6 linked regions of the Zea mays genome follow. The protein of the gene in region 1 binds, or shares a complex with, the protein of each later gene. Links are inferred from orthologs where the notes say so. Each region holds a gene or a part of one and is shown in the gene's direction. Other genes may lie near its edges.

Evidence for each region.
Region 2: 50S ribosomal protein L1, chloroplastic-like (region 1) and 50S ribosomal protein L9 share a complex: the UniProt entries of both Arabidopsis thaliana proteins name them as parts of the 50S ribosomal subunit. The link is inferred for Zea mays from reciprocal best matches to the Arabidopsis thaliana genes EMB3126 and RPL9.
Region 3: 50S ribosomal protein L1, chloroplastic-like (region 1) and 50S ribosomal protein L15, chloroplastic-like precursor share a complex: the UniProt entries of both Arabidopsis thaliana proteins name them as parts of the 50S ribosomal subunit. The link is inferred for Zea mays from reciprocal best matches to the Arabidopsis thaliana genes EMB3126 and RPL15.
Region 4: 50S ribosomal protein L1, chloroplastic-like (region 1) and 50S ribosomal protein L31-like share a complex: the UniProt entries of both Arabidopsis thaliana proteins name them as parts of the 50S ribosomal subunit. The link is inferred for Zea mays from reciprocal best matches to the Arabidopsis thaliana genes EMB3126 and emb2184.
Region 5: 50S ribosomal protein L1, chloroplastic-like (region 1) and 50S ribosomal protein L24, chloroplastic-like share a complex: the UniProt entries of both Arabidopsis thaliana proteins name them as parts of the 50S ribosomal subunit. The link is inferred for Zea mays from reciprocal best matches to the Arabidopsis thaliana genes EMB3126 and RPL24.
Region 6: 50S ribosomal protein L1, chloroplastic-like (region 1) and 50S ribosomal protein L27, chloroplastic share a complex: the UniProt entries of both Arabidopsis thaliana proteins name them as parts of the 50S ribosomal subunit. The link is inferred for Zea mays from reciprocal best matches to the Arabidopsis thaliana genes EMB3126 and RPL27.

Annotation. Positions count from the first base shown.
Region 1 is NC_050101.1:154,265,028-154,269,266, forward strand, and holds the start of 50S ribosomal protein L1, chloroplastic-like, read left to right. Parts: upstream 1-1,439; 5' UTR 1,440-1,494; coding exon 1,495-1,821; intron 1,822-1,921; coding exon 1,922-2,101; intron 2,102-2,188; coding exon 2,189-2,243; intron 2,244-2,802; coding exon 2,803-2,930; intron 2,931-3,276; coding exon 3,277-3,360; intron 3,361-4,239. UniProt on the Arabidopsis thaliana protein: This protein binds directly to 23S ribosomal RNA.
Region 2 is NC_050100.1:222,785,531-222,789,779, reverse strand, and holds 50S ribosomal protein L9, read left to right. Parts: upstream 1-1,449; 5' UTR 1,450-1,521; coding exon 1,522-1,665; intron 1,666-2,191; coding exon 2,192-2,319; intron 2,320-2,632; coding exon 2,633-2,678; intron 2,679-2,924; coding exon 2,925-3,022; intron 3,023-3,202; coding exon 3,203-3,250; intron 3,251-3,343; coding exon 3,344-3,464; 3' UTR 3,465-3,521; intron 3,522-3,607; 3' UTR 3,608-3,832; downstream 3,833-4,249. Other genes in the region: Chaperone protein dnaJ A7A, chloroplastic, read left to right, coding at 754-799; methyltransferase WBSCR22, read right to left, coding at 4,224-4,249. UniProt on the Arabidopsis thaliana protein: Binds to the 23S rRNA.
Region 3 is NC_050096.1:27,447,188-27,450,737, forward strand, and holds 50S ribosomal protein L15, chloroplastic-like precursor, read left to right. Parts: upstream 1-1,311; 5' UTR 1,312-1,312; coding exon 1,313-1,742; intron 1,743-2,003; coding exon 2,004-2,155; intron 2,156-2,743; coding exon 2,744-2,965; 3' UTR 2,966-3,050; downstream 3,051-3,550.
Region 4 is NC_050098.1:221,940,097-221,942,782, forward strand, and holds 50S ribosomal protein L31-like, read left to right. Parts: upstream 1-1,336; 5' UTR 1,337-1,394; coding exon 1,395-1,484; intron 1,485-1,590; coding exon 1,591-1,893; 3' UTR 1,894-2,186; downstream 2,187-2,686. UniProt on the Arabidopsis thaliana protein: Binds the 23S rRNA.
Region 5 is NC_050100.1:50,135,649-50,139,948, reverse strand, and holds 50S ribosomal protein L24, chloroplastic-like, read left to right. Parts: upstream 1-1,500; 5' UTR 1,501-1,557; coding exon 1,558-1,686; intron 1,687-3,122; coding exon 3,123-3,161; intron 3,162-3,249; coding exon 3,250-3,477; intron 3,478-3,612; coding exon 3,613-3,795; 3' UTR 3,796-3,981; downstream 3,982-4,300. UniProt on the Arabidopsis thaliana protein: One of two assembly initiator proteins, it binds directly to the 5'-end of the 23S rRNA, where it nucleates assembly of the 50S subunit. Required for optimal plastid performance in terms of photosynthesis and growth.
Region 6 is NC_050103.1:167,360,501-167,363,927, reverse strand, and holds 50S ribosomal protein L27, chloroplastic, read left to right. Parts: upstream 1-1,214; 5' UTR 1,215-1,276; coding exon 1,277-1,570; intron 1,571-2,411; coding exon 2,412-2,513; intron 2,514-2,622; coding exon 2,623-2,799; 3' UTR 2,800-2,927; downstream 2,928-3,427.

The DNA of each region.
Region 1 (4,239 bases):
CTCGTTTCAAGCTACTTAGCCGTTCTAACTTTAACAACTAAGTTTTGTGGCTATTAGTGTTGAATTTTACAGGATCACCTATTCACCCCTTTCTAGGTGCTCTCAATATTGCTACAGTTTTTGTATATCATATATGTTGCATTTCCTTAAATTATATATATATATATTCAAACATGATTATATTTTTTTTTTAAATTATAGTGTATAGATATATATAATCTCTCCTTTATGTACCACAAATGGATGTGTGCCATAGTGGTAGGAGCCCTGCCGCGTTGGACGGACACGGGCGCTCACGCGTAGAGGTGGTAATGGATCACGATCCAAATGCCTCTTCACAAAAGTTAAGGCCCTTAAATAATATTAGTTCAAAAATGAATAAGAATAGAGCCCGACCCTAATCCGATTCGATCCTTAAAATTTGCAGTATAAAGTTTATAGCCCATTACCACCCCTACTCACGCGTGAGAGACACATGGCGACGCACAAAGAAAATTCTATATTAAAAGTGTAGTGATATATGAGATAATTTTCTCTCTCTCCCTCTACATGGTGGCAGCAGGGGAAAAAGTTGGAGCTCCTGCACTTTCTAAAGTTCATTGTATGTATGTGGAGTGGTGTGCCATTGAAACAACCTAAAGTCTGATTACAAAGTGAGAAAACCACATGTTATGGTCACACTACCAATGTATTACAACATAGGCCTCAGAACTATAGGAGGAATTGACGGTGGAGGCACGAGTGAAGGGGAGAGGGCGACGGGGACGCGAGGGAGGGAGAGGTTGGAGGCGACAGATTGTGGGAAAGGGAAGGGTGACATGACAAATGATAGATGATCTAGATAATATTGTTCATCATTGAATTTGAGTAAGGGTGATAGAGTTATCCAGCTATCTGAATTTGTTTGGTGGATAATCTAAATAATATAGTAGTATAGATATAGAGTAGAGTCAAGGGCCACACACAAACAGTTCGCAGTCGCAGGCTGGCAGCCACAGCCACACATGCGTCCCTCGTCGCTGCCGCTCGAACCCACACGCGAACCGCGACCACACACCTGTCCGGCTGCCTCGCGCGCATCCGCATGGCTCTCGGTCCTCGGGGCTGAGCCAAATCAGGAGCTCCGAACACCTGCGCGCGTCTCGGCCCAGCCAACTCGCCGTGTTTCTCCTTACCCGTCGCCCGCGCGGACACGACACGATCGCACACTCGTACACCCGCTCGTCCCAACTCCCAACCAAGATCAGGCAGGTGACCGGGCGTCTCGGTTGAGCCAAAATCACTGGAATCAGGGGGGAGGAGTTTTCCAGGCGCGGCGCCCGTCATCCCTGCCCCTGCGAGGCTGCGACCGCGAGCCCGCCCACGACCAGCCCTATCCGATGAACACCCAGGCCGAGATCTTTCGGCTATAACCAACCCGCGCTGCCACTTCGGCTTCTCTTTCTATCCCTCCACTCCCTCTTATCTGCTGCGCCATCCTCCCCGGCCTCCACCATGGCCACAGCCGCCGCGGCCACCGCCTCCTCCTCCCTCCTCGCGCCGGCGGCCAGCAGCACGGCGCCGGCCTCGTCAAACGCGCTGCTGTTCCCCTCCTCCGTGCCGTCGCTGCGTGCGTACCCGCGGCTCCTCCTCGCGTTCCGCCGCCCCGCCGCGGCCGCCATCGCCGACCCGCAGGGGGCCGTGCTCGAAGAGGAGGCGGAGGTCGACCAGCAGGGCCAGTACGACGACGACGACGGGTATGAGGGCGGGCGCGGCCCCGCGTTCACGGCCCCCACGCGCCCGCGCACCGGCAAGGCCGCGCTACTGCTTAAGCGCGACCGCGTACGCATATCGCCGAATACCCCACCCTCCGTATATGGTTCCTGTGGCTTGCTTGCTTGTGTACGGCCGGTGATGCTGTGCTAGTTTTGATGGTGCGCAGACGAGGTCGAAGAGGTTCCTCGAGATACAGAAGCTGAGGGAGAGCAAGAAGGACTACGACGTGCCCACCGCCATCTCGTTGATGAAGCAGATGTCCAGTGCCAAGTTTGTTGAGTCAGCGGAGGCGCACTTCCGCATGAATCTCGACCCCAAGTACAATGACCAGCAGCTCCGGGCCACGGTATTGTTTCTTCTTTTCTGGCCTTCTCTTTTTGGTTGCTTGTGCCCTGTTGCGTTCGTTAATTTGTGCTGGTCGTGGTGACCACAGGTGAATTTGCCCAAGGGAACAGGCCAGTCGGTGAAGATTGCGGTTCTCACACAAGGTGGGCGGTGATTGAAACACAACGAAATCCTGTTGAGCGATAGTTAGTACAAACTGAATTCACTGTGCTAGTGGGTCATATGTGTGATTGTTCTGTTTGACACTATTGCCTTGCCTCATGTGTGACTATGGGTTTAATCTGAAACACGCTTGTCTTTATTTTTATGCAAACATTGTGTGCTGATGACCCGATTGGTTAATTTTGTATTTTTTTTCTTCTTAAAGTACCATGGCTTCTTTCAGAGTTCAAATGCAACATATTGGATTGGACAAAGTTAATTCATCTTTGGCATCTTGGTAGAAGAATTTAACAATCAGTTTATTATGTTCATGATGTTTCTACTTCTTTGTTTTTTACAAGAAGTCACTTGGGAGTTGGGATGGTGCTATTTTTGTGCTGTCCACTTAGCAAACCCTTGTTGAATGACTGAAACTTCTCTTTCATATCCTTTGTGAAAGATAGTCATGTTTTTCTTGTCATTATCATAAAGATGGTAGCACCAGTAGTTGAAATAATCATGGTCATTATATGCATTAATAGTTATTTTCTGACCTCACAGGTGAGAAGATAGATGAAGCTAGAGCTGCCGGAGCTGATATCGTAGGTGGAGAAGATTTGATTGAACAAATAAAAGGAGGATTTATGGAGTTTGACAAATTGATTGCATCACCTGATATGATGCCTAAGGTATGAGCTATTAACAGTTCTGCCTTCATTTCAATTTACTGTTGGATACTACCACAAAATTTGAAATGAAATATTTAGTTGTGCTTACTATAGGTCCTAAGTGTCTTACCATGTAAACTGTTAATTTTTTTGTTTTCTATAGATAAAATAGATTGGCTATGCCAATCTAATTTCGGAATACAAGAATACATGTGTGAGATGTTTCATTCTTTGATAACTAATGCTAAACTAAATGTCCAAAGTTCTGTATATATTTGTTGCATTATTTGACATGTTCGTAGAAACTTTCAATGTGGGCTCCCCTTTAAATGATTATCAGCCTGAGTTATTTCTGTTTACTTTTCAGGTTGCGGGCTTAGGTAAGATTCTAGGACCAAGAGGACTGATGCCTAACCCCAAAGCTGGCACTGTTTCTTCAAATATTACTCAGGTATTGAGGAAGTCAATACAGATTTTGTTTGCCTCAGTTTTTTTATCGATATTCTAAATCGTTTGTCTTCATTGCTTAGTCTGGGCACTGTGACAAGATTTAAAACTTCATGCCCTTGTAGTATTTACTGACTTCTAGGATTCATGTACAAGTAACTTCCTACCTTTATCAGTTGCATTTACTTTCCTGTACTCCGATAATTCAAGGTTCAGGCATGGTGTTTTTATTGAACACATGTTTGTAATTTAATTGTGCATAGCAAGAGTTCAGGAAGTTGAAATAGTTGGTTTTACTGATCGCCGAGGAAACTAGATGAGACACATGTTGGAAGATATGAAGCGTTATCAGTGGTAATAATATGAGTAAACTACACTGGCGGTCCCTAAACTATTATGTAATTCTCATTTGGGTCCCAAGCTATGAAATTGCATATCTAGGTCCCTAAACTATATAAGTATCATATCTTGATCCAAAATAACCACATCACAGTCCATCAACTGACGTGGCACTCCAGCGTGAAGCTGACATATGGGTCCATAGTTCATAGTTACAAGGGCTGTCTAAACTATCATAGGATTCTCAGCTAGGTCCCAAACTATAAAACTACTCATCTAGGTCCCTAACCTATTAAAGTACTACAATCCTAATCCAAATTTTATAGTTTGAGACTTTTGTAAGAATCCAATGATAGTTTAGGTATCATCCTTGTAATTATGAGTTATGGACATGCATGTCGGTTCCACGCTAGAGTGCAATGTTAGCTAATGAACTGTGATGTGACTGTTTTGCACCGGGATGGGATACTTAAATAGTTTAGGGACCTAGATATGCAATTTCATAGTTTGGGGATCTAAATGAGAATCGTGCGGTAGGTTAGGG
Region 2 (4,249 bases), on another chromosome or scaffold:
TGCTGAAAAATAGGTTTTGTATTGTCTCTTTTTCTTAACTAAAGGGTAATGAGGTAACACCGCGCTGAAAAAAAAATCATTACATTGAGCATATAGGTTTTGTACTATACTTCCCTGTTCTGGACTTCTGGTGGTATAAAGTATAAACTACCTAGTTGTTTATGGCAGCCGTTACATTTTCACGTACTCCTTTATTAAAAGGGAAAATTACAAATTAAGTTTCTTAAAATCTGAACGCCTTTCTCTTCACGCCTGCATTTTAAATTATCCAGCCTGCGGCCGTGGCTTCACGCGTGTTGGCTGATGTATCTCTGAATATTACTGTTCACCGATCGCTGTTGAACGACTTATCACTTTACCTGTTCTTTCACGCACTTCGAAACTGGCGCAGCGGAGCGCCCCGTCCGGTCTAGTGTAGTAAATAGTAATGGGAAGTTGAATGCAGATGCCTCTTTTATTGAAATCTGAACCAACCCAACTTAATCTTGTAGTAATGAACTATATTTTTGGTCACTGCATTACATTTCCGAGTATTCTTTAAAAGGGGAAATTACACTGTAGTAATGGGAGATTTGAATGCAGATGCATAACCTCTGTTGAAATTTGAGCCATCCTAACTGTGTTAGTTGTGTTCGAGAAAAATAAAAGGTTGGCTGAGTTCGAGAGGAAAAAATGTTGATTGATTTAGTTCATCAGACATTTTTGTGATTGGGTTATCTCTTGTATTCTGACCTAGATGTTGAATTCTTTCAGGTCCATTGTTAATGGCGCTGCGAAGTGGCTGAACGACAACCTGTAGGCTGTAAATATTTACTGCAGGATAGAAGATTGTCTTACATGGTGCTGTAGTCCAATCAAAGTTCTTAGATTCATTGGGGGTCCCCACGAGCTCGTATATTCGTTTTATTGGAGAGCTGCAAGATTTTCAGGCTGAGTGGCAACCGAGGGAGTGAAAGTTGTCAACTAATATCGTCGCGGCGTTGGTCCCTTGTCATTCTTGCCAAGCAATTATTTTTATGTAGTTGGAGTCCTTTTCAGTCTGGCAAGCGGCGTAGAAGTCTGAAGCTGTGGGATGCTGATCCCAAACCCCGGGACTAGACAAACACTGTACTTGAGGTTTTGGATTAATCAAATTCACCGATATCGAATTGCAAACTTATCCAACTTACAAGATGCGATGGAACTATTTATTAGAAATACGTTTCGGTGATATCGAATTCTCAGTTTCGAGAAAGGGCTATCACGCCGGCAGTTCACGCGGCTGGATCCGGGCACGGCGACCGCGCAGGCTCCCGCCATGGACGCAGCGCGACAGGCGAGAGAAGCTGTGAAACGGGCTCTACGGAGCCGTGACATTATCCATTCCAGATCGATTGGGCCGCCGCCGCCGCTTTCTCATTTCCGGGCCCAAACCATTATTTAGGCCTCTCGCGAAGTCAGTGGATGGATAAGAAAGGAAAGCGGTGCGAGCGGAGGAGGCGACCGAAGCGCCACTTGCTTGAGTAGCGAAGCGCGAGAGCAATGGCGTCGCTGTCGTGCGCCTCCACGCTGCCCTGGACCCCCGCCTCCTACCCGCGGCCCTCGGCGGGGCGCTGCCTCACGGCCTCTCGCCGGGCTCCGTCGCTGGTCATCGTCGCCCAGGGGAAGGTCAAGAAGTACCGCCAGGTCGGCCCGGGCTTTCCGCGTGTTCTTATGTTCGAGTTCTGTGCTGATTTCATCTTAGCAATCAGTTAATGCACGCGGGTTGCTGAGGGCATCATAACCTGCCGCGTTTTAGTTTTCTTCTCTAAAAAAATTGATGCACCGCCGTCGGTACGTTTGTATATTGTGATCAATAGATACAAATGAAGTTAGCTAGCTTAGCTGTCTCACTGGCAACAGGTAAGATATAGTGGCTCGCACAATTTAGATGCTCCAAGAGTTGTACTACTACTACTACTAACCAGGCTTTTAGGCAGGGGATTTAGATACTAGGGATGAAATACCTTTGATGGGAGCCTTGCCTCACTAGTTGGAGTTCAGTTCATAAGTCGTTCCTTTTGCTGTGTTTGCCTGATTGTACAAGAATGCAACAACGGTGCATCCAGTTAAATTGACAATGTGGTGCTTATCTTGTGTAGCTATTACCGCCACCCTTAGCATTACATGTGATTTTACCTTTCTCCATAAAAAAAACAATTCTTTCCCATAGGTCATATTGACAGACGACATAGAAGAGGTGGGGAAGAAAGGGGATACACTGAAGGTGCGAGCTGGATTCTACCGCAACTTCCTCCTTCCCAAGGGCAAGGCTACACTTCTGACCCCAGAAGTCCTCAAGTAATTGCTACCAGCTCTCGGTTATCCCTCACTTGCTTTGCTTTGTTAGTTATGTCATTTAATCCTCAAGTAATTGCAAAGTCCACACTCTGTCAAATGATTCAGTGGCTGCTGGCAACCGTATGACCTTCTCTGTGGTATGCTTAGTTTGACTCTGAGGTTTGGGACCTAGGCACCTAGCAAAACTAGATTGAGATATGAATCCAATCCATGCACCTTTCTAATAGAATTGCAATGGTCGACACACATACTGTTTGATTCGATGGGTAAGTAAGATTGCGAATGAATTTATTGCCTCTACTTCTCTTCGCAGGGAAATGCAGCTGGAGCAGGAGAGAATAGAAGCTGAGAAGAAGCGGGTAGGAAAAAATATTTTACTCAGTAATAAATGTAGTTGCAATTTAACCTCAGCGACCTTTTTCTTTGTCTGGAGAGTAAACTTCAATTGCAGTTTATCCTTACTTTCCTTATGAAAAGAAAATATAGTGCCTTTATGTCCTCCGTAATTTAAGTCCTAAGCATGATATGTTCATGAAATTCTATCAATGCATTTTTATCAGTTTTTGTTTATAATTATGGCCTTAAGAAGTCCTCTATTTACATAGGTAAAAGAAGACGCGCAACAACTTGCTCGAGTTTTTGAAACCATTGGCGCTTTCAAACTCCCTCGCAAAGGTGGAAAAGGAAAACAGATCTTTGGGAGGCAAGTTCTAAGTTGGACAATCCATTATTTATTCTCTCTTGTCTCAGGCTATCTCTTACAGCTTACCCATCTCCATCTCTCATTTCAAACTCTACTTTGTACACACTGCAATCTATAGTGTCACTATCTGCTGGGTATAGTCTTACTTTCACTTTTCTGACGATATCTTTTATTGTACAGTGTCACGGCACAGGATGTTGTTGACATAATAAAGTCACAACTTAATAGGCAAGTGCATATGCTCCTAACTCCTAGGCAATCTTAATAGCGTTTCTCATCATTATATTGCTTCTCTTACTGCTGGCACGCTGTGTCTTGTAGGGATGTCGACAAGAAGCTGGTGACGGTTCCAGAAATCCGTGAAATCGGAGAGTATGTTGCAGAGATCAAGCTTCACCCAGACGTGACAGCGCGAGTAAGGCTGAATGTCTATGCGAAATGAGCTCAGCAGTTACAGAACCTCGAGTAATGGACTTTGGAGAAGCCTGATGTTTGCCAGGCGAGCTCATTTGCCGTTGTTCTTTCCTTGAGATTTGGCTCTTAGAATTCCGCTGGTCTTGCTCTTACACAGTTGCTTTTGTTTAGTGCAGAGATTTTGCTGCAAGTGCCAGGTGCTGCGGTAGACATGAGGCCTGGTCTGGCCGTGACTTGCCTGGTTTTGATACACAATTCACTGGCTCACTGCGCATCCTATTCCCTACCGTGTGAAGTCAAGTTTTCAACAATTATATCTGTTGATTTTGAGGCGGAAAATATAAATTGTTGTAAAGAACAATTTGTTTGAACTGTAGAGCACTACTTCGCCAAAAACGACCCTTCTTTCTTGTCCTCTAACCTTCCCCACCTCTACGTCTGCATCCACTACAAAAAAAAGGCAAGAAATTTGCTAAGTATGGGGCTCCATAGAGCGTTATTCAGATTGGAACACCAACGTACTTGACACATGAACTGCGTTTCTTTTAGCCAAAGTCTGGGCGTCACCAGCGATCTGATACAGATTCACGCAAACCAACTGTATTCATCTCAACATCCACGTTCTACAAAAATGACAGTTTCACATCGTTGTCTAAAAATGCAATGACTCCCGAATACCAGTACAACTCCTCGCTTCACCCTTTACAAAAATCCTTCTGCTTCTGCTAAATGAACTAGCATCATAACTGAACAGCCAGCATTGCAGGCAAGGGGGCATTGCACAGAGCTAGAAATAGCCTTTCCGCTTACGCC
Region 3 (3,550 bases), on another chromosome or scaffold:
AAGGTACCCATTTTTGTGAACCATGAAGGTGACAAGTCTCAATTACACCCTTGTAGCTTGCTCAATCCTCCTATCCACCTTGAGATTATGTAAGATCACTAAAGAAAACATTAGTCTCAAATAACACAAGATATGTGTGCTCCCCTCAAATTCTGCATCAAGTACTTGAATACAAGGTTACAATAAGCGCTAGGCGTTAGGCGGGCGTTAGGCCACTGTTTAGCGCCTAGAGAGCTTAGGCGTAGATTAATCGTGCTTAAGCGTTTGTAGGAATATACAATATAATATATATATTTGCACAGAAAAAACAGTTTTAGCTAGGAATTAGGGGTACTTACCTGGAATAATGAATAAAAGTATAGAACAGAAGAGATGGAGGAGCAGAGCAAGAGCAGAGGGAGAGGGAGAGCACGCCTGGATAGCTAGGGAAAAGGAGCAGAGAGGCGCTGACCCCGGTGGCCTGGACGACTTGACCAGAAGGAGAAGAGGAACCGACGGTGGCGGCCCTGGACAGCTGGGGAAGAGGACCAGTCTGGCAGCGGCCCTGTTTTCCTCCTCTTCCATGCAACAGCAGCTGCAGCTCCCAGCCTGTTTCACTCTCTCCCGGGCAACAGCAGCTCCCACCTCTTTCCCTCCTATTCACTTTCTATTCCCGCGCAGCAGCTTTTTTCTATTCCCGCGCAGCAGCTTCCGTGCTCACCTTTTCCCCGCGCGCCGAACCCCGCTTCCACACGCCTCCTTTCCGCCTCAGCGCGCATAGCGCAAATCACGCGCCGCCTACACGCGCCCACCGCGGAAACCACCGCCTAGGGCCTAAGCGCAGCGCTAACATGCCGCTTAGCGTCTAATCGTGATTAGGCGGGCGCTTAATCGCGCTTTTTTGAACATTGCTTGAATAACTTATTCTACCCACATTCTAGCAATTAAGGATGTGTTTGGTTGCCGGACAGAGTTTTTTGCTTAAGTTTGTGCATATTGCAAATCTTTTTGAAAAGATGTGAAAAAGGTATGGTTCTATCCCTTACTCAATTATTTTAGTTGCTAACTATGTTTGTCTAAGCGTTAGAGAATATAATGTATCAAAGTTTTGATATAGTTCTATCTTCTATTCAGAAAAATACCGATTTTTTCTTCTTTATATACAACTTTCGAGTATATTATTATTATTGACATGAATGGGCCACGGCTGTTTGAAAAACAGGCCCAAATAAAGAGTGGAAGAGGCCCATCGTCTCCATCTTATCTCGTTCCCAAACCCCAATTATCCGCTTCTATCCACAATCGCAATTCGCAAGCCCTTCCAACGGCAGTCATGGCTTCCATCACCCTCCTCTCCCTCGCTCCCACCGCCATCTTCCTCCACATCCCGGCTTTCACCTCCTCCTCCGTCGTTGGTCCCGGAATCCTAGCCGGCCGCTGGGCCGCGCCCCGCGCCCTCCCGCTCCGCGCGCTCCCGCCCCGTCGCGTCACCGTCGTCTGCAGCAGCGCCGCGGCGGCAGCCGAGGCCTCGGACGCCGCAGCGCCAGTGGAGAAGTTCCGGCTCGACAATTTGGGGCCCCAGAAGGGGTCCCGCCGGCGGCCCAAGCGTAAGGGACGCGGTATTGCTGCAGGCCAGGGCGCGAGCTGCGGGTTCGGTATGCGCGGGCAGAAATCGCGCTCGGGGCCCGGCGTCCGGCGCGGGTTCGAGGGAGGGCAGATGCCGCTCTACCGCCGTCTCCCCAAGCTACGGGGCATTGCCGGCGGTGAGTTGCTTCAGTTAAACCGAAGCTTCCCCTAATGCACTCAATCGAAGCAACTCGCTAAGCTCTAGTTCAGACAGATGCTTGTCTCACACCCCCACTTCGGCATTGCCCATCCGTGATTAAATTCACACCAGGCTGGCGCATAACTAATTGAACTATGCATTGTGTTGTTACTCGTGAGAGCCCATCAAGGTTACAAGGAATGCAGAAATGCAAGTGATTGAGAAGTTGCCTGATGTGAGTTCCACCATGGCTTTTCAGGGATGCACATTGGCCTGCCGAAGTATGTGCCATTCAATTTAAAAGACATAGTGCGCGGCGGATTCAAAGATGGTGACGAAATATCACTGGAAAGCCTGAAATCACGGGGTCTGATCAATCCATCAGGCAGGGAAAGGAAGCTGCCGCTGAAGGTAAATCTTTTGATGATTAACCTTTGGTTGTTTCAATAAAACTTGTTTTGTGGACTGGTATTTGTGACATAGAACTTGACACGTTCGAAAATATGAATGACTTCATATTCAAGGGTTTGGCTTAGGTCTTGGCCAGTGAGGACATGTTCTCTTTAAGGCAACCTTATTGTACCCCAGATTTGAAGCAAGAATCGAAGTGTTTAGTGATTTGTCGTTAGATTGAGTGGCCAGTATTCTTACTTTTTTACTTCTTATAGGTTGTTGTATCGATTCTGAATTAGCCTGTGATAATGTTAGGTACCAAGTTTATCCACTTGAGTTAGAGTCATCTATTAGAACATGCAATACGGGATCGAGTTTTTTTGGTTGTTTCTGTTAGATGAGCACCACTTGAAGTGTTGAATAGCTTTGTTTGTACAATTTGGCAATGTTCCCATAGGTTGTTCATTGGATTTACAATATATTCTAGAGTAACTACAAACTTCCATATCTGCTAACATAAACATGAAGTGGCATGTGCCACCTGTTAGTTTTTGCAATCATATTTTGTCTTACCTTCATGATCACTTGTTGTTCACCTGTTTGTAGATCTTAGGAGATGGGGATGTATCAGTTAAGTTGAATATCAAGGCTGGAGCGTTTTCAGCTTCAGCTAAAGAGAAGCTTGAGGCAGCTGGTTGTTCCCTAACTCTGTTACCTAAACGAAAGAAATGGCTTCCACAAAATTATCTAAAGAACCAAGCCCGAGCAGAAGAGTACTTTGCCAAGAAAAAAGCTGGTGCTGGTGAATCTGATAGCGGCTCTGCATAGAATTTCTTTGCGATGTACTCTTCTCTTGCTTTTAGCATATGCTTATTACTGAGCAAGACACACCGGCTCAACTAAAAATGTTCATAACTTCTTCATCCAAACTCTGACTTCGATGATATTAGACATTTCGGAAATTTTATTTAAAGGGCTACGATAGCCACTTTAATAATTGATTCAGAACAAAATGGACTAATCCAGAATTCAAATCCAAAGACACAACCCTTGGTTAGGAGAATATCGAAAACCTTTTTTTACAAAGAAAGTTAACTCCAAATGATTTCCCACGTGATGATCAACACCTTTAAGACTTAGTTAGCATTTTCAAAGGTTTTTTATCTCAAACTTTATCCACCACTTGATCCTAGCAACATATGCAAAGTTAGATCACTCAAGTGGCTCTAGATGACAGATATGGAAACAATGTTGACTATCTTAATAGTACGACCATCTATTTTAAACCAGATTATGCACAATTCTACACAACCTTTGATTGGTGAAATGAGATGCTCTGCAAGTAATACATTTCCCTTGTACATTCTATTTCATCTCCCGAAACAATGACACAACACAAGCATCGACCTCTAT
Region 4 (2,686 bases), on another chromosome or scaffold:
CATAGTTTAGTATGAATTGCAGCAGAACATCGTAATTATGATCGACAAACATTGTTATACTCATACAACATGGAATAAATCTTTGTAGATGTAGTTAATCGATAAATAACAAATATAAAATTGCACCTATCAAAGTTAAAATATATGAATACTTAGCTAGATCTATTATCAACAAGGCATAATGAATAGAGATAGCCAAACAAACCAAAGTTAAAATATATGAATACTTAGGGCAGCATGACGTACGAATAATGATATACCAAAAGGTGATAGAAGAGTATAGTATTTAGTAAGAGCAACTACAATAGTTATGTATAATAATAATACCTAAATCCTAGATATAGCAAGTTCTCATATAATATAGGGGAAAAAATCATCTCATCCAACATTTCTCTATCTATTACTTTCTAAATATGTTAAATTTTAATTAACATGACGCTAGTTTGAGTAGGACCATTAGTGATGACACATTTAATTGGTGAGTTATGTTGGCTTTTTTATTTACTATCACAATTGTTTATTCGTTTATTTCTAACATGTGCACGTGCGGCTATTGCATTGGCAATTGGTTAATCTCTAGTTGACTACCTGCCACAATTTTACATCGTCGGCGTCCGACGAATGTGCTCTGTTAATATATCTCTACTACAAAGTGAAAAAACACCAAAATACAAAAGTTATCGTCAGTTTTTTGTTTAGGAAGTTGATAAATGGTTGCTAAATGTAGGGAGAAATTGAGATTAGATGAGAAGTAGCTAAATTTAGAAAATTCATTTAAGAGAGTTGTTGGAGATGAGTTTTTAGTTTAGCTACCTAAATTATTTATTGATTTAAGGAATCTTTTGGAGAACTACTAGAGTTGCTCTAATAGAGTTGCTCTAAATTATTTAATTTTATACTCTTAAGAAAACCGTAACAACTGTAATTGTAGTTTGCATATCATTCCTTAATTATATTTAAGTCAGACTCTACACGGCATGCAACTTTCTCTTCTTTTGGCCCACTAATTCAACCAACCATCTACCAACACTTTCATTTCTGGTGGTGTACTTTCTTCGACGTTACATCTATGAAAGAGAATTTTGATCCGAAATGTTTCGATAAATAAAAAACCGCATAGCTATACCTCTTTAGTATAGCTGGCCGCCAACTGGAAATAACTGAAGGAGAAATTGGGCACTGGATTTTTCGTGGGCCGTCGCATTTCCACGTAGCCCAAAACAAACCACAGACAGACTTTAATGAACATATAGAGCCCAAACAAGCCTAGACAACGCTACCTAAAGAGAGAATCGACGAGCGCCAGAGGATAACATTAGCAAGGCGATAGATAAGAGGAAGGAAAGAACATAGGCAGCCGAAGCGACTGTCGCGAGGCAAGGCCATCGTCCGCCATGACGCTCTCCCTCTCCACCTCTTTCCTCCCCATCCCCGCCGCCGCGAGGACCACCGCCCGCACCCTACGCTCCGTCGTCCCCTCCCAGGTACGCACGTTCGTACACACCGGCCCTCCCTCTCGCCATTCCTGCACGGATCTTCGTCGTCGCCGCCGCTAATTCCTGAGTCCGGAACCTGGACGGCGCGGTGCAGGGGATGCGCTGCTCGATGCGCAAGAAGGGGTTGCACCCGGAGATCTACGAGGACGCGAAGGTGTACTGCAACGGCGAGCTGGTGCTGGTGACGGGGGGCACCAAGCCGGAGTACACGGTGGACGTGTGGTCCGGAAACCACCCCTACTATGTCGGCGACACCTCGGCGCTCGTGGTCATGGACAGCCAGATCGAGAAGTTCCGCAAGAAGTGGGGCCACATCAAGGAGTACTGGCCCGAGGACCAGTGGAGGGAGATGCACCCAGACGGCGACCCGGAGTTCGAGCCCGAGGGGGACAACTGATTGATGGCTCCCCGTCTTCCTCACCCGGTGCGTGGTCACCGGTCCAGTTTACATTTGCCCTCTTGAATGGAATCGAGACTCTGTCTGTTCGCATTGCTCTCCAGGTGTTCGGTTAATGTTCGGAATGGAAAATGTACAATTACTACTACTTCACGAGATAGGGTCTTGTTGATCATGGGCCCCCAAATACAATGTGCTTTCTGCAATGCACTCTAGGGTAGGATGGTATTGATCAAACAAGCAAATGATCCTGGTTCGAGGAAATGGATATTTCTCACTAGGAGTATACGCTGATGCTTGACTACAGCTTGAGTCGTCTGCTGATAACCTGATACCGCATACTGTTTGATCAAACTAGCCTCCTGTTGCTAGGTGATCCAATTTCCGAGTCATAGTTTTATACAACCAATTTTTCCATGCGACTGAACTAATTGAGTGTCCATGTGTTGCATGATATATAAAACATGTCGTGACATACGGCCATATGGGTGGAATAGAATATTTGTAAAATCTCATGCCATTACAAACAATTAGCACCAACATATAATTCAAGCTAATTTCTATAAAATAAAACAAAATGACTATAATATTATTGGCTTAATCTAGACAAAAGAAAAGTAAGTAATTTTATTTTGTTATTAATAAACCGTTGAAGATAATATCATACACTAGCTCTGATTCACTCTATTTCCTACGTTGATAGAAAATGTGGCGGAAATAAGAATAGATAGCGACAAGCAAATAGATACTCCCTCCGGTGTTATATTATTTGTCGTTTTGGATAATGTTCGAG
Region 5 (4,300 bases), on another chromosome or scaffold:
TGGAGGCCACAAGGTGCAAAATCTCTATCACAGTGGGCAAATTAATCAACAACCGAAGGAAACTACTTGACATGTCTAGCTCCGAAACCTGTGAAAAAAAATGGTCCACATCTGGAGTGTCGCAAGCAAGTAGAGCTTTGCCCAGACAGATTGAGTTTTGCCCAGCACTCCAGCATCCATGCCTTAAAAGGTTATAGTTAGAAAGGGGGAGGATTGCTAAGCCCTTGCCAGTTAGCCACATAGAGAGAAGGCCTTATTATTAGATCATGCCATTTCTTTTCTTACAAAATTAACAAAGTGCAAAGCATTACTATGGCCACGAGGAACAGATAGCTACGAAATGAAACTGTCGCAATTATCATGGAAAAAAGCCACACATTTCCTTATCCATTTTGTTTGGTAGCGCCACATAGAAACAAAACTTCATGTCACGATTTGCATAGTTATCTCAACACATGTGGCGAATAGAAAAGGAGAAAGAGAAAAATAAACACAAGATTCTTAACCATAATAAGATATAATTTGTGTCGGGCATTTGCATAGTCACATGCTTATCCCATGGGGAACGTTAAAGGTTTGCTTGCACGGCAGGACCATTCCTGATTCCCTAGATGGTAGTTAGATGACGGCGATAGGAGCCGAGGCCCAACTGCCCAGTGATGTATTGGCCGTGTTGTTTATGTGATCTGTCATGGATGTCCTACTATGATTCAAGGATTTAGGACATGCGCAGAACTGCCAGCAATGAAAAGTCGAAGAAAGAGATATTGACTTCGAGGGGGAGAAATGTAGTCCACTATGAGAAAAGAGATACCCAATGTCTCTGGAGAAAAAGATCTGAGGTAAACACGTCTAACTTGCAACCATGATTTGCAATAGAGAAATCCGATTGACATCCCACCCTTTCTCGGTGCAGGATGGGACCTGCAGCAGCAAAAGCGCAAAGCTTCGATGTCACCGCCATCCACCTACCCTCCATCGCCCAAACTGTCTCTGTCTCTGTAACGCGAATTTTATTTTACACAACAGCAAAGTGAAAAACTGGAGTAGGGGGTTCGCTTGCCTCAGCAACCGTCGCGTAGCTTGCGCGCCTCGGCGCTGGAACGGGGAATCTGGAGGCGGGCACGCATCTCCCAAGCAATCTCGCGTGGCCTCGCGTAGCGTGCGAGGAGACACGCAGAGAGGGAGGGAGAGAGAAAGAGAGCCTTGACCCCGCCGTCCTCGTCCTGTCGTCCTGATAGCTGATGCAGTGATGCTGATCAGCTGATGCGTGCGGAGCTCGCTCGTGGAGCCGAGGCCCTAGCCTGTAGCCTCTCACGGCGGTAGAACGAGCACCCATGGGCCTCACTGGATCACCTAAGCGTCTTCCAGGCCCATCTGTGCCTCACCTGAGGCCTGTCTCATTTAGTGACGAGGCCCAACCCACCAGCGTCAGAATACAAGAGCGCGTTATCCTCTCTCTTCCGGTTCCGGGCAACTCGAAGAAGCCGCGTGCGTTATCCTTTGAGCAGTTTGGGCGCTGAGCAAGTCCAGTGAGAGAGGGAGAGCGGCGAGAGGATGGCTGGGATGGCATCGCTGCAGGGCGCCATGGCGTCGCTCTCCATCTCCGCGCTAGGCGCGGCGACGGCGAGCAGCAGCAGCTTCTGGGGCAACCGGCTCGCCACCTACTCCGCGCCGCAGCCTGGGGTCTGTTCCTGCTTCCCAATTCCGTTCCGTTCTGCTGATGGTTTGGTAGATAATAAGTAGCTGTTCTGGTGAAAGATTTTACTCTGGAGTTTCTGGATAGCGTTGCAAAGCGCGGTCGGATGGAATTGTTCTAGGGACATTCGAGCTTGCATTACGGTTTTGGAGCTAGTCTGTATGGATTGGATGCAATGAAATGGAAAATTACCTTTGCATTGTTATTAATTGTGCATTTTCAAGGATGACAAACCAGGCTTCTAATATGACTATGTTTAGGGGTGTTTGACATCACTCTAGAGCAAAACTTTAAGGAAGACCTGGACAAAGTCAACTAAACACCCTAATTCTAGAGTTGCAAACTCTATAGAGTTTTGAGAGTTGTAGTATAATTTTTTGGAGTACATTTTTTGCTACTTTGAAAAATCCTTCAAAAACAATCAAGACACATCCAATGCACTGGTTATGAGAAAGCAATCTACACTTCGGAGCAGATATACTTCACCCAAAGTTTTGGAGTAGAACTATGCCAAACTCGCCCTTATTAGATTTCATATTACATTAAGTTTCTATTTGCTCCACGACACACACTAAATTTAGACCGTGTCCATATTGAATTTCGTCTACCTTCTTTTTTTATTTTTATCTTGCATGGAAGCTTAAATGGTAAGATTTGAGTGCGCCAAATAGATTAACTGATTGGGATTAATTTAAGTAAGAGAATTTCCTTTGTCATTGGTAATCCGGTATTGTCCTTTTTGCATATACAACTATGCACATGTTTGCCTTTTAGTGCTAATAGAGAGTATGCTGTGTTTCATGTGGTAAAATTTGTTCGAGTACTCTTTATTTAGTTTGTTAACTGAGGAAATTATGTTGCTTTTGAAGCGGTCAAAATGTCAACTGAAGAAATTATGTTGCCCTCAATGTGCCACTGATTTTGTTTATATATATTTATGCCTGAATTACCCCACATCACACAATACATATGACTAACTGGAAACAAAATTTGGCGCCAAATAGTGTATTATGAGCATAATGATGTTTGTATTTGAACCCTGCTTTCTTTTCTGTGTCATCTTTATTATGCCTTACCTGTATGTACTTGTGCCTGGAAAATTCCCAACTGATAAGAATCGGATGAGGATAAACCTTTCTGTTAAGAAGCAAAAGCAAGTAAAGAATAGATAGTGAGGTCAAGTAATCACTGTTGAAGGAAGTGATAGAACCACTGTATTTTAAGGGATATCGTATTACTCAAACATAAAGAGGAGCCCTGGATCCTGTAGTGTCTTGATCAGATCAACATGAATCGTAACCACTGTGTTTGAGTCATGCCATATCTCAGAAGCATCTGATTAGTGTCTCTTTGATTTGAAATGGAATCTTATGTCTTTAGGATGTGAAGTTCTGACAAGCTGTTTAATATGTTCAATATGCAGGTAAGGTTTATGGTCAAGATATGCCCAATTGAAATGAGAGTGAGTAAAAAAAATCTTTAGTCCAAATATTTGATACCTTTTTTATCCAATAATGTGAAATGTCCTAAAACTTCACTTTCCACTGCAGCTTAAGAGATGGGAGCGAAAGAAGTGTAAACCAAACAGTCTTCCTGTGCTGCACAAGATGCATGTTAGGATCGGGGACACGGTACAGGTTATTGCAGGCCGTGAGAAAGGAAAGGTTGGAGAAGTCACACGCCTTTTCAAGCACAACAGCACGGTGATCGTGAAGGACCTGAACTTGAAGTCGAAGCACAAGAAAGGCACAGACGATGAACCCGGTGAAATCGTCATGGTCAGCAAAATTTCTATTGAACTTGTTTTTTGGGCCTCTCATGATGCTTTGCACATATTGGTTTCAAGAGCATATCTGTAGTTTTAGTAGGTGCCTAATCGTTCTCTTGATCAGACTTAAATTTTCTTTGATCAGATTGAAGGCCCCATTCATAGCTCAAATGTGATGCTCTACTCTAAGGAGAAGAGTGTGGTAAGCAGGGTTGGCCACAAATTCCTGGAGGACGGGACCAAGGTCCGATACCTGGTCAAGACCGGTGAAGTAATCGACAGTGTTGAGAAGTGGGTAAAGGTTTTTAAGGAAGGAAATTCGGAGTAACAGTTTTAGCATGAAAACCTGCAAAATGCTCTGAACGCTGACTGCGTCTTGCATGTTGAATTGAGCCTGTTTATCCCTCTATGTTGTTATTTACGCCAGTTTTTCCCCCTGTAAATTATACAGTTGTCACCAAATCTTGCAACGCAAGTCAATGCGCATCAGCATATGCTGATCTTGTTCCGCTTCACCAGTCAGAGTTTTGGATGAAAAACTATGAGGGCATGTTCGGTTACAGTAATCCAGAGGGGGATTGGAGGGGATTAAATCCCCTCCTAGTCATTTTTGACTAGGAGAGGATTTAATCCCCTCCAATCCCCCTCTGGATTGGTGTAACCGAACAAGCCCTGAACGGGCTTGTATGTGCGGGCAGCCCGTGTTCGTTTGCAGCTCTGGACCCACTACTCTCGGTCTCGTCCTCACTTCCTCAGAAATATCCACATATATCATTTCCTATATTACAAAGGCATATTACAAAGGCGAAGTAACCTGTGCACATGAAGCAATA
Region 6 (3,427 bases), on another chromosome or scaffold:
GCTTGGCCTTTTCGTGTCCTTTTCAGTTCCAAACTATTCACCGTGCAGTGGCAAAGATCGATATGGACTAACATTTTACAACCGCAAGCACGCTATAATTTGTCACAAATAAACAAGAGTGGGAAAAAGATAGAGGAAATGCGTTGTGTCGGTCGGGTCCGGCCGGGGTGGGGTGCGGGTGTGGGTGTCGCCGGCGAATCGTCAGACGAGGCAATGATCGCCGGCGGTCAATGTCATCTCTCCGTCCCCCTGCTGACGGTGCGTGCGGTGCGGTGACTGCTGCTAGTACAAGTAGTAGCAGCAGCCTGTGAGCGCCGTGCGCTGCTGCCTCTTTGAAATTTCTGGCATCCCTAGTGCCGCCGGAAATCTAACGCACACGGAGACGGAGGAGTAAACAGTGCAAACTGCAGCGAGTGAGCGGATGGAGCGTCTGGACTCTGGAGAACACGAGATTATTAGTGGGTGGTGGTGGTGGTGGTAGGGCCCTGTTTGCTTGTGTGGTCTGGTCTGGGCCATGATTAACTTGGACCCCCAAACGCTCTGCATCTCCCGCGCTTTCGTCAAGGATCCTAATCATGCCATGTGTCGGTCGTCTCCTCTTCTTCCGGCTCCAGCTTTGCCGTTGCCGCCGGTCAAGCCCATCATCATGCCTACTGCTTCTCTTGCTCTTGCTCTTGCTCCACAACAAGCCTGCCTGTCACTCTAGCTAGCTTCCCCGGCTATCTCCCCACGTGCCGACGCTAGCTAGCTGTGGCCATTCAGCGTCTCTCTGTGCAGCTCCGGAGGGAGGAACAAGATGATGCCCTTTTGGTTCACATATCATGTTTGTTTAACTCTAACTGAGCCTATTCAGACTTATTATCGTTGGTACTTGAATGTGAATCATTATCGTTACCACTTACGTTACATATCATGAACCAAACACCACCACACTGATCATTTTGTTTTCCCCCTGAATGATTCCTTCGTGAATCCTGTGTTGCCTTGCCTAAAACTACAAGGACCAAAACCGGCCAGGAGCATAACACCATTTCCCTCCCTTCCAATTCGGCCAGACACTCTGCAAGCACCACGAGGCCCATCTGCAAGTAAGGCCCAAAAACTCCAGGACCCAAAACACTGGGCCAACCACGAACGAGCCCACGTCTCCCGACTGCATCCCTTCTCCACTCCGTTATCACCAGCGCCCACACCTCTGTACCTCACCGCCTCATCTGCTCTCTTCCCCCGTCTTCTTCCCAAGCTGCCACGTTGCCTCCCTCCGCTCCAGCGGCCCATGGCCTCCATGGCGTTCGCCCTGGCGGGGGCCTTCAAGGGCCTCTCCCTGGCGCCCACCACCACCACCTCCTCCTTCCCGCGCTGCGACCGCGCCTCGCTCTCCGTCGGCGGCGCAGCGGGCGTGCCGGTGCCGGTGCCGGCGCGGCGGCTCACCATCCAGATGGCGCACAAGAAGGGGGCCGGGAGCACCAAGAACGGCCGCGACTCCAAGGGCCAGCGCCTCGGGGTCAAGATATACGGCGACCAGCTCGCCAAGCCCGGGGCCATCATCATCCGCCAGCGCGGCACCAGGGTCCTGCCCCCCTCTTGCTCCCTTCGCTTCCCTTACCTGTTACTGGTTTGCTTTGGGTTAGTAAGACAGCCTAGGCTCTTGCTTGCGTGGATTATGGTACCTCGTTGACTGGCTCTGCTGGGCGACATAGCTCTCTCTGCCTAGCGTTTGCTTGCTGCTCACCTGCTGCTGCTGCTGCTGATGCAGGTTAAGCATATTAACCACCGACCAGTACCTTCATACGGATTACGGACTGCGAATGCTAGAATCTTACGATGTACCTAGAATGCTTGCCATTGCACATGTTACGTTGGAATGTATGCTGCCATTGTGCATATCTGCATTTTCCATAGTTTACCACTCTGCAAAAGCAGGAAAGAAAAGATTGCAGTTTCTTGCATACATCAGATAACGGGAGGGGAAAGTGCACACACAAACCTCGCTGGGGAATGTAACGTACTAACCTCAATGCCCTATGGAGCCAACTGGTGGTGACTTAGGGGGGTGTTTGTTTGGGATTATAATCTGCCCAGGTTATATAATCCAACAAATTTTGAACTAAACACCCACCTTACTCTGCACACATGGTCAGACATAGCTGTTCAATATTAGGCATACTGTAAGATGGTCGGTCAATCCTTGTAAAAGATATTTCATGAACTTACATGTCTTACGATTTGGTTGGTCCGTCCTACTTACCAGCGCGCTTCAAATATTTAAGATGTTTATATATTATGGATACTACATGGTTTATACCATCGTGTCCCTTGTATAGAGTTCGTTTTGGTCCCCGTTTTGTGGTCTGTCTGTTCCTTGCCGTTTTTAAGTTTTTTCTTAAAATAAAATCTTTTGGACATTTCAGGTCTATCCTGGAAATAACGTTGGAATGGGCAAGGATCACACACTCTTTTCTTTGATAGATGGACTCGTCAAGTTTGAGAAGTATGGGCCGGACAAGAAAAAGGTTAGCTGTATCTTAGTTACTACATACTGAAATCTGCTTTTACTTGCATCTGACTGAGATCTGGTTGCACACCAGATATATGCTCATCTCACTACCTCTCCTTTCATAGGTTAGTGTTTACCCATATGAGAAGGAGCCTGAAAACCCAAACAGTTACAGAGCAAGGAAGAGAGAGTACTTCCGCATGCGGCGTGAACGGAAGAAGGCGAGAGCGGAGGGCGCCGCTGAGCCTCAGTTGGTACTAGCTGCTGTTGATGAAAACTCTGAGGTCAGCGCGGACTGCTGATAAGTTTCCTGTGTGGTGTTTCTCTTTTTCACAGCCCTTGTTACACTTTTTCTTCCTTAATTGTAAGACCACATGATCTATAAAGGTCATATTTACATGTGTTGTTTAGATAAATGGATATGTTCTACTTGTACTTTTTGTGGGGTAGTTGTGCTTTAGAGTCACAGTGGGGGTCTATTCCAACTTCCTAGACCACTCCACGTAGGGCGTGTTTGGTTCGGCTTTTTTCTGAATAGCTTTTCTGAAAAGCTGGTGGTTAGAATTTAGGTGTTTGGTTCGCCAGCTGTGCGGAAAAGCTGTTCGTTAGAATCTAGGTGTTTGGATACACAGATTCTCAGATTGCAGATTCTGTTTGAAGAAACTATACACATTAACACCGAACCAACAAAAGGTCATTACATATAATTAGTGGAGTTCATTACAACATAACTACTGTTACATTTACATATTTAACTACGGCACTAATGCATTAGCAATTGCATCTCGAAATGCACTCATGTCTAACTCATCAGATGTGATACTACTACTCTCACCTACAGATACATCATGACCAAGGCTATTAGGTCCTAGTTCATCAAAGTCTCTATCGTGTAGAGCACTGTCTCTAATGAAGTTATGCAATGTCATA